2 linked regions of the Diceros bicornis minor genome follow. The protein of the gene in region 1 purifies or fractionates together with the protein of each later gene. This does not show direct contact. Links are inferred from orthologs where the notes say so. Each region holds a gene or a part of one and is shown in the gene's direction. Other genes may lie near its edges.

Evidence for each region.
Region 2: the proteins of MTF2 (region 1) and JARID2 purify together in Homo sapiens (affinity purification with mass spectrometry; 3 studies listed by BioGRID and IntAct, with this or other methods). This does not show direct contact. The link is inferred for Diceros bicornis minor from reciprocal best matches to the Homo sapiens genes MTF2 and JARID2.

What each region holds. Positions count from the first base shown.
Region 1 is NC_080743.1:29,191,072-29,200,297, forward strand, and holds the start of MTF2 (metal-response element-binding transcription factor 2), read left to right. Parts: upstream 1-5,084; 5' UTR 5,085-5,324; coding exon of another isoform or gene 5,325-5,329; intron 5,330-9,226. UniProt on the Homo sapiens protein: Polycomb group (PcG) protein that specifically binds histone H3 trimethylated at 'Lys-36' (H3K36me3) and recruits the PRC2 complex, thus enhancing PRC2 H3K27me3 methylation activity.
Region 2 is NC_080753.1:51,773,346-51,782,652, reverse strand, and holds the start of JARID2 (protein Jumonji), read left to right. Parts: upstream 1-5,204; 5' UTR 5,205-5,268; intron 5,269-5,294; exon of another isoform or gene 5,295-5,314; intron 5,315-5,543; exon of another isoform or gene 5,544-6,032; 5' UTR 6,033-6,191; coding exon 6,192-6,236; intron 6,237-8,568; exon of another isoform or gene 8,569-8,587; intron 8,588-9,307.

The sequences.
Region 1 (9,226 bases):
TGCAGTTGAATCAGGAAAGTCAGACATGTAATAACTGCTGTAAGGGAAAAAATAAAGCACTTTTACACATATTATTTCATTTAGTCCATATGATAAAGCTTTAATGTTGATATTCTCATCAACATTAGCCCCATTGAGCCCACAAAGAAGCTCAGGCTGTGAGAGTTTAGGAAACTTGCCCAAGATCATTTAGCTAATGAAGTGGCAGAGGCTGGACAGCAACTGAGGTGCTCTGTCCTCCAGGGTTCCTGCATCTGCTACTCTGCCTCTCATCTCACGCTCTTGCTCTTACCTTGTTCGCATCTTTAAATGCTCACTGTACAAATTAGCAGTGTGAAGCAGATAAGTAGGTTTATCTTTTTTTCTATTGGATAATTCTCTCTTTCTCTCATCTCCTCCCTGCAAAAATCAAATTTTGGTGATTTAATTTTCAAAAACTTGTGTCATAAGCCGGGTATGCAGAGATGGGAATTGGAACCTAGCTCTTGTGACTCTTTTTTTTTTTTTTGTGAGGAAGATCAGCCCTGAGCTAACATCCATGCCGATCCTCCTCTTTTTTTTGCTGAGGAAGACAGGCCCTGAGCTAACATCTATTGCCAATCCTCCTCCTTTTTTCCCCTTTTTCTCCCCAAAGCCCCAGTAGGTAGTTGTATGTCATAGTTGCACATCCTTCTAGTTGCTGTATGTGGGACGCCACCTCAGCATGGCCAGATAAGCGGTGTGTCGGTGCGCACCCGGGATCCGAACCCGGGCTGCCAGGAGCGGAGCGCGTGCACTTAACCGCTACCTTGTGACTCTTAATTGAGTGATTTGTTTTGACTGCACACATACTTTTCAATCACTCACCTTAAATTTTTGACTGCCAAGACAGCAACAATATCACCTGGTGACAGCACACGCAAAGTCTTCTGGGGTTGGGGTACGGGGAAGATGATTTGAAAAGACTGAGGAAGGTGCATGTGCTTTTAAAAGGCTCATATCCATTTTCACAATGCAAGTAATGAAGGGTGAATTTGGAAATGATGGGCAATAAATTGATAATGGGCACATTATATTTTAAGATGTATTATACAAGGAGTCTAAATTTGCTATAAATACTTTTATAACAAATTACTGAGTTTAAAAGCAGTGTTCATGTTATATATAGCCACTTAAGTTTTGGATAAAAAGGAAAGGAATTTTAAAGATTTTATTTATTTATTTTCCTCCCAAAGCCCCAGTAGATAGTTGTATGTCATAGTTGCACATCCTTCTAGTTAATGTACGTGGGACGCGGCCTCAGCATGGCCGGAGAAGCGGTGCGTCGGTGCGCGCCCGGGATCCGAACCCGGGCCGCCAGGAGAGGAGCGCGCGCGCTTAACCACTAAGCCACGGGTCCGGCCCAGGAAAGGAATTTTAAAAAATCCTTTTGATTATTGTGGAAACATTCATTTTTCTTTTGATGTTTCAGATTTCCCTTTTCAGACCAAGGAAAGCAAACTCTGTAAGAACACAGAATGTCCTTCTTTGACCTCTATGACTTGTCTAATTATTTGTATTTCTATCTCGGCACAATGAACAAGGTTAAAAGCCTTCTAGCCCTTTCCCACAAGAGAGTAATAGCTAATAATTGGGAGCTTGCAGGTCTATAAATATAGTATTTTATAACATTCCCTGTGACTTTTCAATGATACATTTTGAGAATTACCTAATGTTTTGAATATTTTGCTCAAATTTTCATTTTTGGTTCTGATTATGGTAGGGAGTTCAATGCTATTACTGAGTTCTGTTACATATGAACACATCTAGATTGTATCACAGTAGACTAAAATATGCTGGGAAGCAGACAACTACAAATTGCAGTGGCTTAACACAACAGAAGTTTATTTCTCCAATTGAATATCCACATGCAAAAAGATGAATACAGACTATACCTCACAGTGTACACAAAAATGAACTCAAAATGGATCACAGACTTAAACGTAAGAGCTAACCCTATAAAACTTATAGAAGAAAACATAATAGAAAATCTTTGTGATCTTGGGTCAGACAAAGAGTTCTTAGATATAACATCAAAAGCATATGGCACTAAAAAAAAGACAAATTGGATTTCATCAAAATTAAAAAACTTTTTGTACTTCAAAAGACTCCATTAAAGAATGAAAAGAGAAGCCATAGACTGGGAGAAAATATTTGCAAACCGTGTGTCTGATAAAGACTTGTAACCAGGATATATAAAGACCTCTTATAACTTGATAATAAGAAGACAAACAGCCCAGTTAAAAAATGGGTAAAAGATCTGAATAGACGCTTCACCATAGAAGATATAAGAATGGCTAATAAGCACATGAAAAGATGCTCAACATCATTTGTCATTAGGCAAATACAAATTGAAACCACTTCACTCCCACTGGAGTGGGAAAAATCAAAAGATAGACAATAACAAGTATTGGTGAGGATGTGAAGAAATCAGAACCCTCACACATTGCTTGTACCTTGGAAAATAGTTTTGCAGTATCTTATAAAGTTAAACATAAACTTACCGTACAACACAGTAATTCCACTTCTAGGAATCTACCCAAGAAAAATAAAAACAAATATCTACACAAAGACTTGTACACAAATGTTCATAGCAGCATTATTCATAATAGCCAAAAATTGAAAACAATCCAAATGTGCATCAAGTGGTGAATGGAAACAAAATACAGTACATCCATACAATGGAGTACTCTTCAGCAACATAAAGTAAAGAACTACTGACACATCGTACAACATGTATGAACCTCAACAATACTGTGCTGAGTGAAAGAAGCTAGACTAAAAGACCACATATAGTATGAGTCCATTTATACAAAATGGCCAGAAAAGGCAAATCTATAGACGGATAGCAGACTGCCTGGGACTGGGAATGGGAACAGGGACTGATTGCAAATGGGCACAAGTATTTTTGGGATGGTGGAAATGTTCTAAAACTGGTTGTGGTGATGGTTGCACAACTCTAGTCTCTGCTTATTGTAGTCATTTAGGGACACAAAATGACAGATGTTCTATCTCACACATGCTTCCATGATCACCACAGCAGGGAGGAGGGGAATGTGCCTCTGCCTCTTAAAGATTTTCCTAGGAAGTGATACACATCGCTCCCCCTCTCATTTTATTGGCAAAAACAAGTTACATGGCCATGCCTAACTTCAAGGGTGCAAGAGGGTGAAATTCTACTATGTGTCTGGAAGAGAGGAGAACCAGAATTTTTGTAAACAACCCAAATGACTGTCACAGAAATAAATAACAACAACAATAAATGGCACAGTTTACTCTGACTGGAGTTACTTTGCTTTGTACTTCTGAGGCACTTGCTGATATTTGTCTCTTCTTAAAGTCCTAATCCATTGCATGTTGCATAGTTAACAGAAATTTCTAAGACCACAGCTATAGGCTTTCTTTGCATTTTACTGTGACTCCCTCAGTGCCCTTGATTCTCTGAGCATCTGGTTTCCTTAAATTAAATGATTGCACTTTTGCACTCATATGTTCACACAGAATAAGTTTTTTTTTTTTTAAATAGACAGGCATCATTCACTTCTCTAATGTATAACGGATTAGAATACTTCTTGTGGCTACAGAGGCCAAAAAGTTAGACCAGTAAGTGAAAATTATCGGAAGGCAGATTGTACATCTATATAAAGAAGAATTTTCTAATTATTAGTGTTTCGGAAATTGAAATGACTGTTTCTGAGGTACTGAACCACTGAAGATGTTGAAGTTGAGGCTTGATGATCGCTTGAGAGAAACACTGAGGAGAACTCAGACCAAACGTTCTCCCAAACTGATGTTCTGTGATTAGGCTTAGCAACACAGGAAAAATACCTGGTTGCATAATGTTTGTATCCATTTTTGGCCTGCACCTATTTTTTTAAGTCAAAACTCTCCTCAACCAAAAGTGTGAAGGGCATTGAGGACGAATTTATGAGAAACTATGTTATAATAGAAGTCACAGAAAGTGAAACTTGAAAAGTAGCAGATAGAGTGAGGCTATAGTTAAGACAGATTTAAAATCCGATTAGGACTATTAGCCAGGAGAAGCAAAGCAGTGGAAAGGTATGACTAAAATAGTTAAAATATTGAAGGATGTGGATAAAATGAATATGTTTATTGACCTAATTCTGAGATCACAGGCTGAGGGAACCCCCTTGGAAATATGAGCAAAGTGAGTTTAGGCCACAAGAGGTACTTTTTCAGCGCGAGAGAAAACATGGTATTAATTATCCCGGTGATGTAATACGAGACAAAAGTATAAAATGATTTTTAAAATATTTTGACAAAGTTACAAACAAAGGTACCACAGGTGGCTACTAAGAGGAGCTGGGTTGTATCGAAGCACAAGTCAAAGAGACAAGCATGCACTCTCAGGCTGTCACCTGAGGCCCCTGTGGGCAGCAGAATATTGGCAGGCTAAGGGTCTGCCCTCGGATGAAAAAGTTCTGTATTCCGAAAAGAAACCACTTTGCACGGAATTATTCTCAGATTTCATCACAATTAGGGAGGATCTGCAAGGAAGATAAACAGAAAAACCTTTCATCGTCAGGGGAAAAAAGTCCGAAAATCTTCTATATAAGCAGCTGCTGCTAAGAAGGAATTTGGGGCTGGACAATAATCGCCGAACACAATTTAATTCTGACATTCAGGGTCTCCTCCCCGCTGAAGGAAATTCGAACAGCAGGCCTCAGCGTGAAGATAGAAGAAACGTGCTTTATCTGAGGTTTTCTCCACGGAAAGGAAATCGGAACGGCAAGAGGTAGAGAGCACCGTCCCATTTCTCAGGAAAAGAATACGCACAGTGAAAGTCAGACGCGACGCTTTCCTTCACGAGAGTCAGCAGTGGCACAGCCAAAGGTCTGGAGCGCAGCGCTATTGTGTTAGCGCCGGCGGCGGAAGGACTTAGCCCCACCGCAAAGTTAAAGAGTCCTTCTTTGTTCAGCTTCGGCCGGGGACGCAGGGCACGGTGTTCTTCCGCGCTGGCAGCGCAGTCCCCGCCCCCTCGCGGCCCTGGAGAGCTGCCATTCGGCACCGGAGTTGCTCCGCGCTCCCAGAATGCACCGGCAGTCCGCGGGAAACCAAAATGGCGAGGGGCTGTAGCGAAGTGGGCTGTGTTTGAGGCCGGTGTAAGAACGCTCACTCTATCCCCAGCCCTCGTCCCCAGGACCTTGGTTTGTGCGTGTGTATGTGTGGGTTGCCTGGTGGGGCGGGTGCCCAATAAGTGCTCGGACTCGCAGGGGAAGCGCCCACGGGGACGTTATTGGTTGTTTTTTCCTGTATGAAGCGGTTGGCACCACTGAAGTGACCGAATGAGGTGAGAGACCTTGGCCTGGGAACCAGGCTCTTCCGGGGGAGGTGGGTGGGGGAGGAAGAAAGGAAGCAAGTATAAAAGGGAAAGATGGAGGATCGAAGTGGGGGTGGGGGCTCCAGTTTGTGTATGTGGGTGTCTTGCATTTATGTATATGTTGAAAAGAATGGATAGAAAGGAGTAGTCAGTTGGGTGTTGGAGAAAATGTGGACTAAAGGAGCGAGCAGGGCGTTGGGGAAGTCGTTTGGAGGAACAAGATGAAGCCTTGAGACGGGGAAGCTGTGTTTGGAGGGGCAGGAAGGAACCTGGGGGCGGGAGACGGTTGGAGGGGCAGGATGAACCTGGTGATGAGGGGGTGGGGAACCGAGAGGAGGAGCCGTTAGGAAATGGGGACTGATGGAGATGTGGGGAGCAGAGTGATGGGCCTGCCTGGGACCTTAGAGGGCGCAAAGGGAAGTAGCAGCTTGGAACCGGAGGGTGGTGGAATTGTATGGAATTGGAGTATGGGGGTAGATTAGAGTAAAAGGGCAGAATGGAGTACGAGGATAAGGGGAACACTAAGTGGAGCCTGGGAGCAAACACTGAAAGCTTAAAGGGAAGAAGTGGGAGGGACAGTGTGAGATGGGGGAGAGGTATCTTATATTTGGAGTGCACCAAAAAATCTGAGGCAATTCTTCTATTTAATGAAATCTAACTCATATCCCCGCTCAGATGTAGATTTGTATTAGTGTATTCATTTTTACAACTGATGTAGTTACGGTTTAAGGGATTTTAACTAATTTGCCAACACAACATATTTTGGTAGTGCCAGAACTCTTAACTCTGTGCGTTTTACAATCTGGTGTCCTTGATGGCTAGAATTTTTCTTTGGAAGCAACTAGAGGGAACAGATGGATTTATCGGGATAATGTGACGATCGGTGAGAGTTAGTGAACAATGGGAAAAAGAATATGGAATGTTATTCTATTCTTTAAAACATTTAACTTTGGTTAAAGATATAACCCATTTACTAATTCAAATATGGAAACCTAGGTAGGCCTATGTATAACGTAAGAAAGCGCCATGTGAGGTCAGTACAGAACTAGAAATATGTAAATAGTGCCTGATTTAATTTGACTCCAGATGCTCCGGTAGTAGTAACTTTCTCCTTCAGATTGATTCCATGTGACCCTCCTGTATACCTTGCCTACAGTCTGGTTTCAATTTCCATGTTTTCATTCTCTTGACAATTCCTGTTTTTGGCAGTGGATTTCAAAGACAGTGAATTTAAAATTATTAAATATGGATAAAGTAAAATATACTTAAATTCTTAAGTGACCTTTCAAAGGTTTGAAAATGGTTTAAATGGAGCCATTTTGATTAACAGCTTTAGGTCCCCAGTCGTTTTGGCAAGGGAAGAATTGATTTTAAATTTCTTAACAGAGCATTATATTCTTGATATTTGAAGTGTTATTCACACTCCAAGCATTTGCAGTGATAGCTTTGAGAGAGAATACCAGGTGAAATTTTTTGTTTTTGTTTTTTTAGGTTCCTAAATATAAAAATGTATTTGAATTCACATTTTAAATTTGCTCACCTTCACTTTTTTTTTGAAGTGCTATAAATATTGTAAAGTATTTGAATTGAGTGCACCTGTTTCCTGATACTGCATATTCACATTAAAGGGTACTAACGGAAATCTGTGCCTATCAGGATGAAATGCACACACAATTTTCGAACTAGAAGTGTAGAAATCATCTGGTTAAACCTTTTCTTAGATGAAATAAAATATATTTAATAATCCTTTTAATTGTGCCTTTTGCCTCAAAGCTCAGTTCGGAAAGGGATTTTATTCTGTGTATTTTGCTGTGGGTCATAAACTCTTTGATGTCATGGATTATAAGTATACCTTTTCATTAGATTCTTGACTGAATGGATAGTTTGCTTTATTCATATTTCACCATAATGTTTACATCTGACTTAGGAAACTGACAGTATGGTGATAATCTATTTTAACATGGGGAAATTTGCCTCTGAGGAGTTGCCCTGGCCGACATCTGTAGCTTGGTGATTCTGAAAGTAAAATTTAACTGCTGTTTTAGTTAGTCTACACTTCCTTGAATGATATTCCTTGCTTGATCTTTTTATGCTCTGTTTCCCCTGTTCTTCAGGATTTGTTTATCGCAGTAAAATACAGTATAACAACCCTCAATTGAAATGTGAAAGGTTTCTGTGGGTGTTTTTTTTTTATGTATTAGGATAGTGCTATCTAATAGAACTTTCTGCACTGATGGCAGTGATCTGTATCTGGTCTATCCAGTTTGATAGCCAATAGCCACATGTGGGATGTTGAACGCTAGAAATGTAACTAGTGAGACTGAGAACTGAATTTATAATTTAATTTAATTCATTAAAACTAAAATTTAAATGGCCATATGTATCTAGTGGCTGCTGTATTGGACAGCACAGTATTAGAGGTTATTACATCTATTTATTAGGAATTGTCACGTCCATTAACCATGGAAACCACAGGAACCAAAGGGTAAGGAACTATCTTAGAACTAAGGAGATTGAAATTTTCTTTGTACATTTTTAAGATGAAGTATTCTTCATTTTTGCCACACACAATGTCTTCTGTCATATCTCTGTTTTCATATAACATTGCAAAAGAATAATGGTCTCAATTTCTCTGGGCTTTTTAATATTTAAGACTCTTTTTCCTTTGTCAAAAAACAACAAAAATGGGTGTTAGGAAAATTAGTTTACTTTGTTATTTTTAAAAAAATTTACCTTGTTACTGTTACAGATCAGTAAAAAAACTTTTTATTAAGGAAAATTTTGAATGTATACAAAGTGAACAGAGTAGTATAATGAACTTTTTTGTATCCATGCTTGTTTCATCTGTACCTCTACCCACTCCCCAGTCTACTTCATTGTTTTAATTATTTTTTAAAGTTTTTTTGAAGTAAAATTTACGTATATTGAAATGCACAAATCTTAACTGTACACTTTTTAAATAATAGATTTATTGAGATATAATGCACATATATTTATATATGTACATAGTTCACAGGTACTTTACCCTTTTAAGGTACAATTCAGTGATTCTAGTATATTCAGAGTTGTACAACCATCACCATTATCTAATTTCAGAACATTTTCATCACCCCAAAATAAAAATCTGTATCCGTTAGCAGTCCCTCTCCATTTTTCCCTCCGCCTTCCTCTGGCAAGCACTCATGTATTTTTTATGTTTATATTTTGCCTGTCCTGGACATTTCATATAAATGGAGTCATACAATTTTGTGGCCTTTCGTGTCTGGCTTCTTTCCCTTAGCATAATGTTTTCAGAGTATATCCATGTTGTGGCACGTGTCAGTACTTCATTTCTTTTTTATGGCCAAAATATATTTCATTGTATGGATATACTACATTTTGTTTATCCATTCATCTGTTGATGGGCTTTTGGGTTGTTTCCACTTTTTGGCTGTTGTAAGTAATGCTACTATGGACATTCATGTATAGGGTTTGTGTGGACATGTATTTCCATTTCTTTTGGGTACATATCTAGAAATGGAATTGCTAGGTCATGATATCTCTATGTTTAACATTTTGAGGAACTGCCAAACCATTTTCGAAAGAGCCTGCACCCTTTTACAGTCTCACCAGCAACTATGAGGGTTCCAATTTCTCCACATCCTTGCCAATACTTATTGTCTGTCTTTTTGATTATAACCATCCTAGTTGGGTGTGCAGTGGTATCTCATGGTGGTTTTGATTTGCATTACCCTGATGGCTAATATTGTTGAGCATCTTTTCTGTGTAGTTATTGGCCTTTTGTATACTTTCTTTGGAGAACTGTCTATTCGGTGCTTTGCCCATTTTAAAAATTGGATAATTTATCTTTTTATTGTTGAGTTGTAA
Region 2 (9,307 bases), on another chromosome or scaffold:
CCATCCTACTGCTTGTATGACCCTGAGCAAATCACGACATCTTAATATTTCACTTTCACATTGGAAGAGTGAGGACGATAATACCTATCTTAATCCGGGTTGTTTTGTGGATTAAATGATATTTTTATGACTGTGCTTTAAACACTATAAAAAGTTACACAAATGAAAGGTACCATTAGATATCACAGAGAAATAGAAGGTTACATTAGGAAACTAATAATGTACGAGCATAAAGACACTTGCCCTAGCAACCCTTACTCAACAATTGTGTATTTAAATCTACTTAGGGGCCAGAACTGAAAGGGGAACCAGGAAGCACAGTACTGCAAAGGTCAAAGTAGGATTAGAGCACGTTGGATCCAGAAATGTCTTTGGTGATAATTGAATTTAACCTATCTATAGATGCTGAAGCTGAGGCCCAGTGGGGCCAAATAAATGGTTTACGGTCACTCAGAAGGTTAATATTAGAGACATCTGATTCCCATCCAGTGATTGGCCTCATAGCCAAAGGCTGCCTCAATATAAGACAAATCACGGCCCCGTGAAATTTTCAATCTACTTAGGAAGGACAGATATACAAATGGCATAATCAGAAAACAAGGCAACATGGAATACAATTTTAAAGCTCAAAAAATGTGGCTGATGGTAACTATGTAAGGTGATGGACATGTTAATTAGCTGGACTGTAGTAGTCATTTCAAAACGAATATGCATATCAAAACATCATGTTGTGTATCTTAAATATATGCAATTTTTTTTTCTCTTGAAATGTGGCTGAAGTAACAGGGGCAATGAGAATCGAGAAATGAGGCAGCCAAGCAGTCAGGCTGAACCGGAGACAGGACCGGAACTGGGGCCTGGAAGCATGCACCGCACTGTGCTGGATGTGGGTACTCTAAGACGAGAAACAGCAGCGCTCCAAGATGGAACTGGGCATGACAGCAACAGACTAAATGGCTGGCAGTAGTCTGAATAATCAGGCATCACAGTTTTGGTGAAACATTCAACAGTAAGCATTTACTGGACACTTCCAAAATCGATGAAGTTTCTGAAGCTTTGGGGAGGACATGAGAAGTAGACAACATGGTCTCTGACTTTAGAAAGCTTATTTTTGTATTTGGAGAGAAGAGATGGGAACATGAGAAAAATTGGAGAATGTAAGCAAAAGTCAGTATACAATGCAAAGGGGTGAAATATGTGAAATAAGGAAGGATTTTTGGAGAAGATGAATCTTGAGTTATCCCTTAGGAGAACCATGGATGTGATTGGAGTCTGGAAGCACGTGGAATAACCTGTCATCCCCTGCATTAAGAGGGGAATTTCAATATGCATATACTATAGGACTATGGATTTATTCCTCTGTACTTGATCTTTATTAACTAATTAATTTTTTCTCTGTCATTTTTTATAGTAAATCAAACGGTGGACTAGAATGCTTCATTAATTATGATTGCCCATACAGATTTGAACCCAGAATAGAGAAGGCCTGCTCTTATTTGTGTCTGATGATTTGTTACTTCTTCCTCTTTTACCTCTATCATGTTCCCATTCTTCCTAGAGTGGATAATGGATCTAATTAAAAGAGCATAAAAGGTAAGATTAAGGAATCATTTTAGACTCTACCCTGCTAGTCACCATTCCTTCCAGCTAACCAGTTCCCAAGCCCCACGGACTTTTGACATTCTAAATAACATTCTCAACCTGTTCTCTGCTCTGTATTTCCTCTGCCACTGGATTCAGATTTTAACCATTTCTTACCTCATTTATGCAATAACATTGCAACTGGTTTCTAGGTCTTCCTGCCCCCAGTCTCTCTCTCTTCTTCATATATTTTTTTTTTTTTTTTTTTTTTTTTTTGTGAGGAGATCAGCCCTGAGCTAACATCCGCCAATCCTCCTCTTTTTTTGCTGAGGAAGACGGCCCTGGGCTAACATCCGTGCCCATCTTCCTCCACTTTATATGGGACGCCGCCACAGCATGGCTTACCAAGCAGTGCGTCGGTGCGCGCCCGGGATCCGAACCAGCGAACCCCGGGCCGCCGCAGCGGAGCGCGCGCACTTAACCGCTTGCGCCACCGGGCCGGCCCCTCTCTCTCTTCTTCAATCCTCAATTTCATCTCTCACACAATCAGAATTACTTTTCAAAAATGCAAATCTGCTTTCTACCTCCAGTAAAAATCCTCCTAAGTTTCTTTTTAGACTACAGGCAAAGTCCAAACTCTTTGTCTGGCATACAGAACCTTTCTGGTCCTGGCTCCTGCTTACCTCTCAGTCTCATCTTTGGTCACTGCCAAACAAAAATTGACTCCCATCCATAAGTGTGGTATTTTTTTTTTTTTTTTTGAGGAAGATTGGCCCTGAGCTAACATCCATTTGCCAATTTTCCTTTTTTTTTTTTTTTTTCCTCCTCAAAGCCCCCAGTATGTAATTGTATATCCTAGTTGTAGGTCCTGCTAGTTCTTCTAAATGGGACGCCGCCTCAGCGTGGCTTGATGAGCGGTGAGTAGGTCCACACCCAGGATCCGAACCAGCAAACCCAGGGCCGCCAAAGCAGAATGCTCAAACTTAACTGCTGTGCCACCAGACCAGCCCCTCATGATTTTTTTTCATGCTGTAAAGTTGCTTGGCTTATTTCAAACTGCTGAACTCCCTACTCATCCTTCAAAACTTCCTAATTCCTGGTCACTTCAGCTGTGCGTTCCCTTTAGCTCCTTTTCCATATTGCTAATACAGCGCTTTTTAGAGGTATCACAATCGATTGTTAAATCTGCCTTTTCTACTGAGCTGTGTGTTTCTTAACAAAGGACTTTCAGACTTTTAGTGCTGGCACATAACGTCCTTTAGAAGAAATGTACCTAGTGAGGTCCACCCACCCCTGAACTCCAGACTTGAAGGGGTCAAAAGGAGAACTGTGAGGAGTTAAAATCATCAGGAGAGAGAGTGAATTAGACTTACAGAAAACGAAAAAGAGGAGGAAAAAGAAAGGAAAGGTAATATATGGCCTTGCCAAGATGACAGGGAAAGGATGTTCATCAGGAGACAGTTACTTCCACAACAGGAAAGGACTTCAACTGCTAAAAAGGCCAATCTATTTTCCTTTTCAGGGAAAACAACACTAATGTTATCCAAATCTTTTGGAAATGAGCAAATTCCTTCCTTTCCCCTGCCCTCAAGCCTCCACTAGGAGAATGGTCTTTAGTACGCGGCGACCTGGAGCTGGTAGCCCAGCAGGGGAGTTCACAGGCCCGGGACGAGAAGCCCAGCCTCCGGGCTAGCTAAGGGAACCAAGAAGAAACCCACCTTTGTTCTTTAATATTTTACCTGGGCAATGACAGATCTGACATTAAACCTCCAGAAAGCTGGTTAAACCATAACAGTGTGGAGAAGTGGAGACCTCAGAAAGTCTTCTGAAAACACCTCGTTGTAACCTAACCATAAAGTCACTTGGGTGGCCAATCCTGAAAAGTGGAGTCTGTTCTAGGGAGTCCTTCCCAGCCAATGGCACCAGCCAACAAGTTTTGTAATATCAAGGGACAGAAGGTCATTTATTTTTCTGATCGTGAAATGAACATAAGACAAAAGGATTTCATTTTACAAAGCGTTCAGATTTTTTAAAAAGGTAAAGTCATAATTAAAAAGCCTTTAGAAAAAGCACTTAATTTCATTTCCTGAAAGCTTCCAATAACGTGTCTGGTTCTTAGCGGGGTTAACGTCTTGGTCATCACTAATTTGTAGATGAGGAAACTGACAAGCTCAGGAAAGCCATCAGTTACCTTTAAGCAAGTGGCTAAGGTGTAATTTGAATATAAGTCTCCTACCCCCAGTTTCTGAGCCCGTTCTCGACCGTGGTTATCCCTTCCAACAGCACTGCAAATAAAATCTAACAATGGTGTTACCGGAGTATTTATACCTTTCAAGGCAAGGAGAATCTTAGAAATAGGCAGGAAAATAAAATGGATAGGGATGAGGATGAGGGGGCACTGACGCCACTTTTCATTTATTCAGAGGCTAGCCTGAGAGGAGGTCATTTAAGACATCACTTCTCCAAAACAAGGAAATTAACAATGCAGAATGGCTACGTGAGACTTGACAAAGTTGTTAATACGGCGAAAGCCCGAAGAGATACACCCGGGGCTGCTACTTCATTTATATCAGCGATTAGACAACCACAACAGGGGGCAGAGGCAGGTAAGAAGCAGGCTCTCGCGTGGCTACCGCAGCTGATAGTCCTGGCACTCGGCGTTCCAGATGCTTCCTTACAGTTTGCCTGTCTGGGTGGCTCGGTCTCCATATTCCACCCATTTCCACCTCCACGTTTCGGTCTCGCTCATGGGCACCCCAGACGCGAAATACGCCAGGAAAGGCAAAGATCGTGCTCATCTCGTTCAGGGCGGTTGTCTTTTGTGGGAGGCAGCCGCCCGAGGTGCCCTTTCTGGCCACCCCCGCGCAGTCCTCGCCCGCCGGGCCGCGTGCCGCGTGCCGCGCCCGGAGGTGGCCTTTCCGCACGGCCCAGCCGGCCGCCCCGCGCGTGCGGCCGTGGGGCGCGGGCAGAGGTGACCTCAGACCACCCCGAGCCCGACCGCGGCGCGCTCCGTGCGAATACGCGAGGCGCTGTCCTGAGGTGACACCGGCTGCGCAGCAGAGGCAGCAGGCGCCGCCGATCAACTAGTTCGCACCGAGGATTCCTCTTGGTGCGTGGCCCAGTTTTCCTTAGGACGGGCTCCAACCCCTCGCTGACACCGCCCCCCGCGCCGCCACGCTCCGAGGCCTTCCCCCGGGAAGCCTCGCGTCCCTCCCCCGCCGCTCGGCTCGGGCCGGCGCGCGCGCGATTCCTCGATTCCACAGGCGGTTCGCGCCGCGGGTGGGGGCGGGGCGCGCGGGGAGGGGGCCGGCCGCCGCGGAAGGAGGGGGGCCGCGGCTGGGGGGCGGGGGCGGGCCGGCGTGGGGAGTTCCTCGCTCGCGGACCACACGCTCTGCGGGCCAATCCCGAGCCAGCCTCTAGCAGTGTCGCACGCGGGACACGTCCAAGCGTTTGCTGGCAGGGCCGGGGAGGGGGAGGGGGAGAGGAGGAGGGAGGGGAGTTGAGTGACAGGCTTGCGGGGCAGGCTGGGAATTGTAGTTCCCAGCTCCCGTGGCCATAGCCATTTTGTAGTCGGGGGACTACAACTTCCAGAAGATCAAGGGGACCATTCTAAGGTGCCCCGGGAATAGGCGGCCCTCCCCCAGGCCGGGCGTCCTGGGGCACTCGTACCCAGCAGCCCGGCTGCAGGTAGACGCCAGGGCAGTGGCGGGGGCCAGCGTGTGGCGGCTGTGGGGTGAGCGGCAAGCTGGGGAAAGGGGGTGAGGTGGAGCGACCGAGCGTGCCATGCATTGAGCTAGGGAGCCTCTCTCAATTCCACTCCTAGGCTCGGCGTGGGAGCGATGCCTGAGGGCTTGTCTGGGAAGGGTTCGTCGAGGCTTCTCGGGTGTCTAGTCGACGGGGCTGCGGGGATCCTCAGTACTGGGCCAGGGGCGGTCGTCGCCGGGCTAGGCGGGCGCCTGGTGGCTCAGCTGTGGGAGTTTTCGGCTAGCGTCCGGCGGGGAATTACTCGAGGAGCCCTAACTTGTATAAAAGCAGAGTCCATTTAAAGTTGGGCTGGATAGCCTCTCTCTCATTGGTTAGGGGGCTTGGAAAAAAGAGACTCGGCGAGCCCTCGCTGTGGTGCTGCCGCCGCCGCCGCCGCCGCTGGAGTTGACTCTTCTGCTCGCACTGCTGCTGCAGCACAAACGTGACTTCCAACATTTTTTATTTATCTTTCCCTTTTCTTTTCCAAGATGTAACTACAGATCAGACACTAAGGACCTTCACGTTTCGCTGATGTAGTTTTTGGAGGAAAAAGGGGGGGAGTGAAGGGCGTCGGTTTTTTTTGTGTGTGTGTTTCGGGGGAAATTTTCCATTATGAGTGTTTTACTAAAGTGAATTTTTTTTTGTTGTTTGCTTCGTTCGTCTTTGGCTCTTTTTTTTTTCCTTCCCAATTTCGGATTTATTTTAAGGCGAATCGGGCTTTGGGGGAAGAGGAAGAAAAGTCGGATTACAAGATCAACCACCACCAACAACAATAAAAACCACCAGGATATTTTTTTGCAAATTTCTGACGGCTTTAAATTCATGAAGCAATTGTCCCCTTTTGCAATCAGCATTTGGATCTCAGAATGAGCAAGGAAAGACCCAAGAGGAATATCATTCAGAAGAAATACGTAAGTGCTCGTAACAACACATCCTTTGACTTGCAGTTTTAAGCAATGGCTGTGAATGTCAAGTTTATAGATAATTCTGCAGCTGAAGGGTTTTAAACACAGCGTCCGATAAGGCTGTTTCTTTCTTTTCTGAAAGAGGGCTTTTCAGGCAAAGTCGTGTCTGCCTAGTTTGGATGAAAAAACATATTGGTGTAGCGATACCTCAAGTGAATATATTGACCTCGAATGACACAACCATAATCTAGTTTTAGATGAAAGGCAAGGGATTTTGGTGGAGCTTGGGGGGGCTGGGGGCTGCGGTAATGTAACTAAACTGCATTCTCAGGCGGATTTGGCCCCATATTGCACTTTGCATGCAAATGAGCCTGTGTTATTATTATTAATGTTATTTGGAAAATCGTGTAACGCGGGTGTGTTGGAAGCCCTTTAAGTTGCAATCGAGGGTCCGATTATGGCGATCTCGTTCCTTGCACTGGCACATCAAATTTAATGTATGTGGTCGTTTTGGCTTATCTGGTTCGCAGCATAAACCAGTTGGGAATCATGTTACAGCGAATGCATTTGTTGGGATTGACTTTAATAATGGGACTGGTTTTGTTTAAAAATTCATGGTTTCCAGTTTTAGGGGAAAAAGACATACAATATAGCTAATGTTTTTAAGTAGATATGTGAATGCATATGTAAGTGACTACAAATTTCTCTCTGTTCACTGGGCTTTGAATCACTGGGCTTTGAATCACTCTGAAATTGGGTGATTATTCAGAGATTTAAATGGTTTGGAATAGTTAAATTTGTTTTGTGCATAGTACAGCTACGTTTTGATTGGCATGGGGAGTGTTTTTGTTTTGTGTGTGGTGGCTTTTTTTTTTAAGTTTGGGGGGAGGGAGGGAAGAGGGGGACCGAGGGATTAACCAAATATGCACTCGAGTGATCCGTGATTAGCTGCGTGCTTTAAATCAGAGAACCCATTTTTTCAAAAAAAGGCCAAATGAACATACATTAGGAAATAATAGAACGTTATAAGAAAGTTTTATTTAACTCGAGTCAACAAATTGGTGTTCATATTTTCCCTTTTTGAGCAATGTGATGTGGGTAATGGGAGATGACCTTCGGGGCATTGGTTTTGTAAAAAATACATTTAATGGAAAAGCTGAATGCCTCTTCTGGAGGGCTGATCCTAATCTAGACACGTAAAGTTCAACTATGAAAGAAATGCAAGGTTAAATAATCGAGCCCAACTTAAAAAGCTGTACCCTAAAGAATTTAGAATTAAAATACATCCGCATTGCAGAGGACTGGGTAGAATGCAAAGGACGAGTTTAAACTCGGGCTGTAGAAACTGCATGGAGACAATCTTGCCTGGGAGCGTGGACGCCTTCCCGGGGCACGTCCGATTCGGGTGCAGCCACAAAGCAGATGGGCTAGAACTTGGACAAGAACCGCTCTCTCCACTCCTCCCCCCCACCCCACGCCATCCCAGACCTCGCCGAGTTGGAGAGCGGTGTGGGGTGGGATTTTTTGTTGCCGGTGGTCAGCGGATGGTGTCGAGTCCGGGCGTCCGGCCGCAAGCCCGGGGCCGGCGGCGGCCGCGGGAGGCAGAGCACGAGTTACCGCTGGGGGAGCGGAGCCCGTGTTCCCGACGTGCTCGCGCGGGCTGCGGCGGGGAGGGCGCGCGGGGGTCGCGGCGGGCTGGGCCGGGTTGGGCGGGCGCGCGCGCGGCCTGTAGGGGGCGGGCTGCGGGCTCCGGCTCGGCTCGGGCTCCGGGCTCCGGGCTCCGGGCGCCGGCCGGCTGCGGGTGGGTGGGGCGCGGGGCGGCGCGGCCCGCTGGGCCCGGGGGAGGGGAGCGGCGCGGGGCGGGGGCGTGCCGGGGGGCGGCGCGGCGCACAGCTGCAGCGGGCGCCCCCCACCGCGCGCACAGCCGAGCATGGCGGCGGCGGCCCGGCCGGCTCCCCGCGGCCCTGCCCGCGGCTCCAGTGCGGTCCCGAGAGCAACAGGTTAAGCCGGCGAGACGTCAGCGCGCCCCCTCCCCGCCCCCCGGTTCCTCCCCCGCCTGGCGCCGGCCTCCCCGCCCTCCGCCCCCCGCCGCTCCGGGTTCCCGGACGCTCCCGGCCGCGTTCTGTTGTCATTGTGACGTCACAAAGGGAAGGGCCCGGGTGGAACCTTCTCCTCCTCCTCCGTGACGTCAAAAGTCGGGCGGGAGGTTCCAGAGCGGCGGGGCGGCCGGGGGAGGAGGGAGTGGGGAGGAGGCGGGGGTTGCGGCGGAGCGGGGCTGCCGCGTGGGAGGAGGAAGAAGGGGAGGAGGATGCCATCGGTCTCTGCCTTCCGCCCCGAAACGCTGCGCTTCCCTCCAGGTGAGAGCGGGGAGCCCTTGGTCCCCACGGGAGTGCCCCCGACCCAGTTCTGATTCCATTTAGTGGATGGAGGGGAGCAGGAGGAGACGCCTTCTTTCTGCAGAAATGATTCCTCTGTTTCCAGGTCTGCTGATGGGGTGGCGTTACCACTGTGGTAGTTGTGTTTGCTCACCAACGCTTTGGAAAAGCCAGGAAACTTCATTCAGGGAAAGCCTTGCTCTGTAGGAGCACCATGTTGTAGATTTGGCCACCTTGTCACTTTAAGTCGTGTTTGGGGTGTCTTTGCAGAATGTGGCCGGATGCTTTTCTGGGTGATGCTGCACAGTAGAAACTGTTGCTCTTTCTGAAAGCCTTGCAATACCACGGAGGCGAGTGGCGCTCCTTCGCTGTGCCAGCTCTATATGCCTATTGAGTATCTTGGGGAGCCAGACGAGGGAAGACTTGTCATTAATAGGAGAGCACTGAAGTCTGAAGGTGTTCTGGGCTTAGTTGTTCTGAACAAGAGGCTCGCAGTCTCAGTCTATTTACTCTTCTGTAAAATGGAAAAAGTAGTACCTGCCTTTGTTACTTCACTTTATGTGAGAAGATTATGTGTGTGAGATAACCTGCGTGAAAGATGTAAAACCGTATGCTCTTTCTGTGTAAGGGGTGGCGTTATTACTTGAGCTGGTGGAAGGCAGCACATTTCCTACAATTGGTCTCAAAAGCCTTAGATGCCTG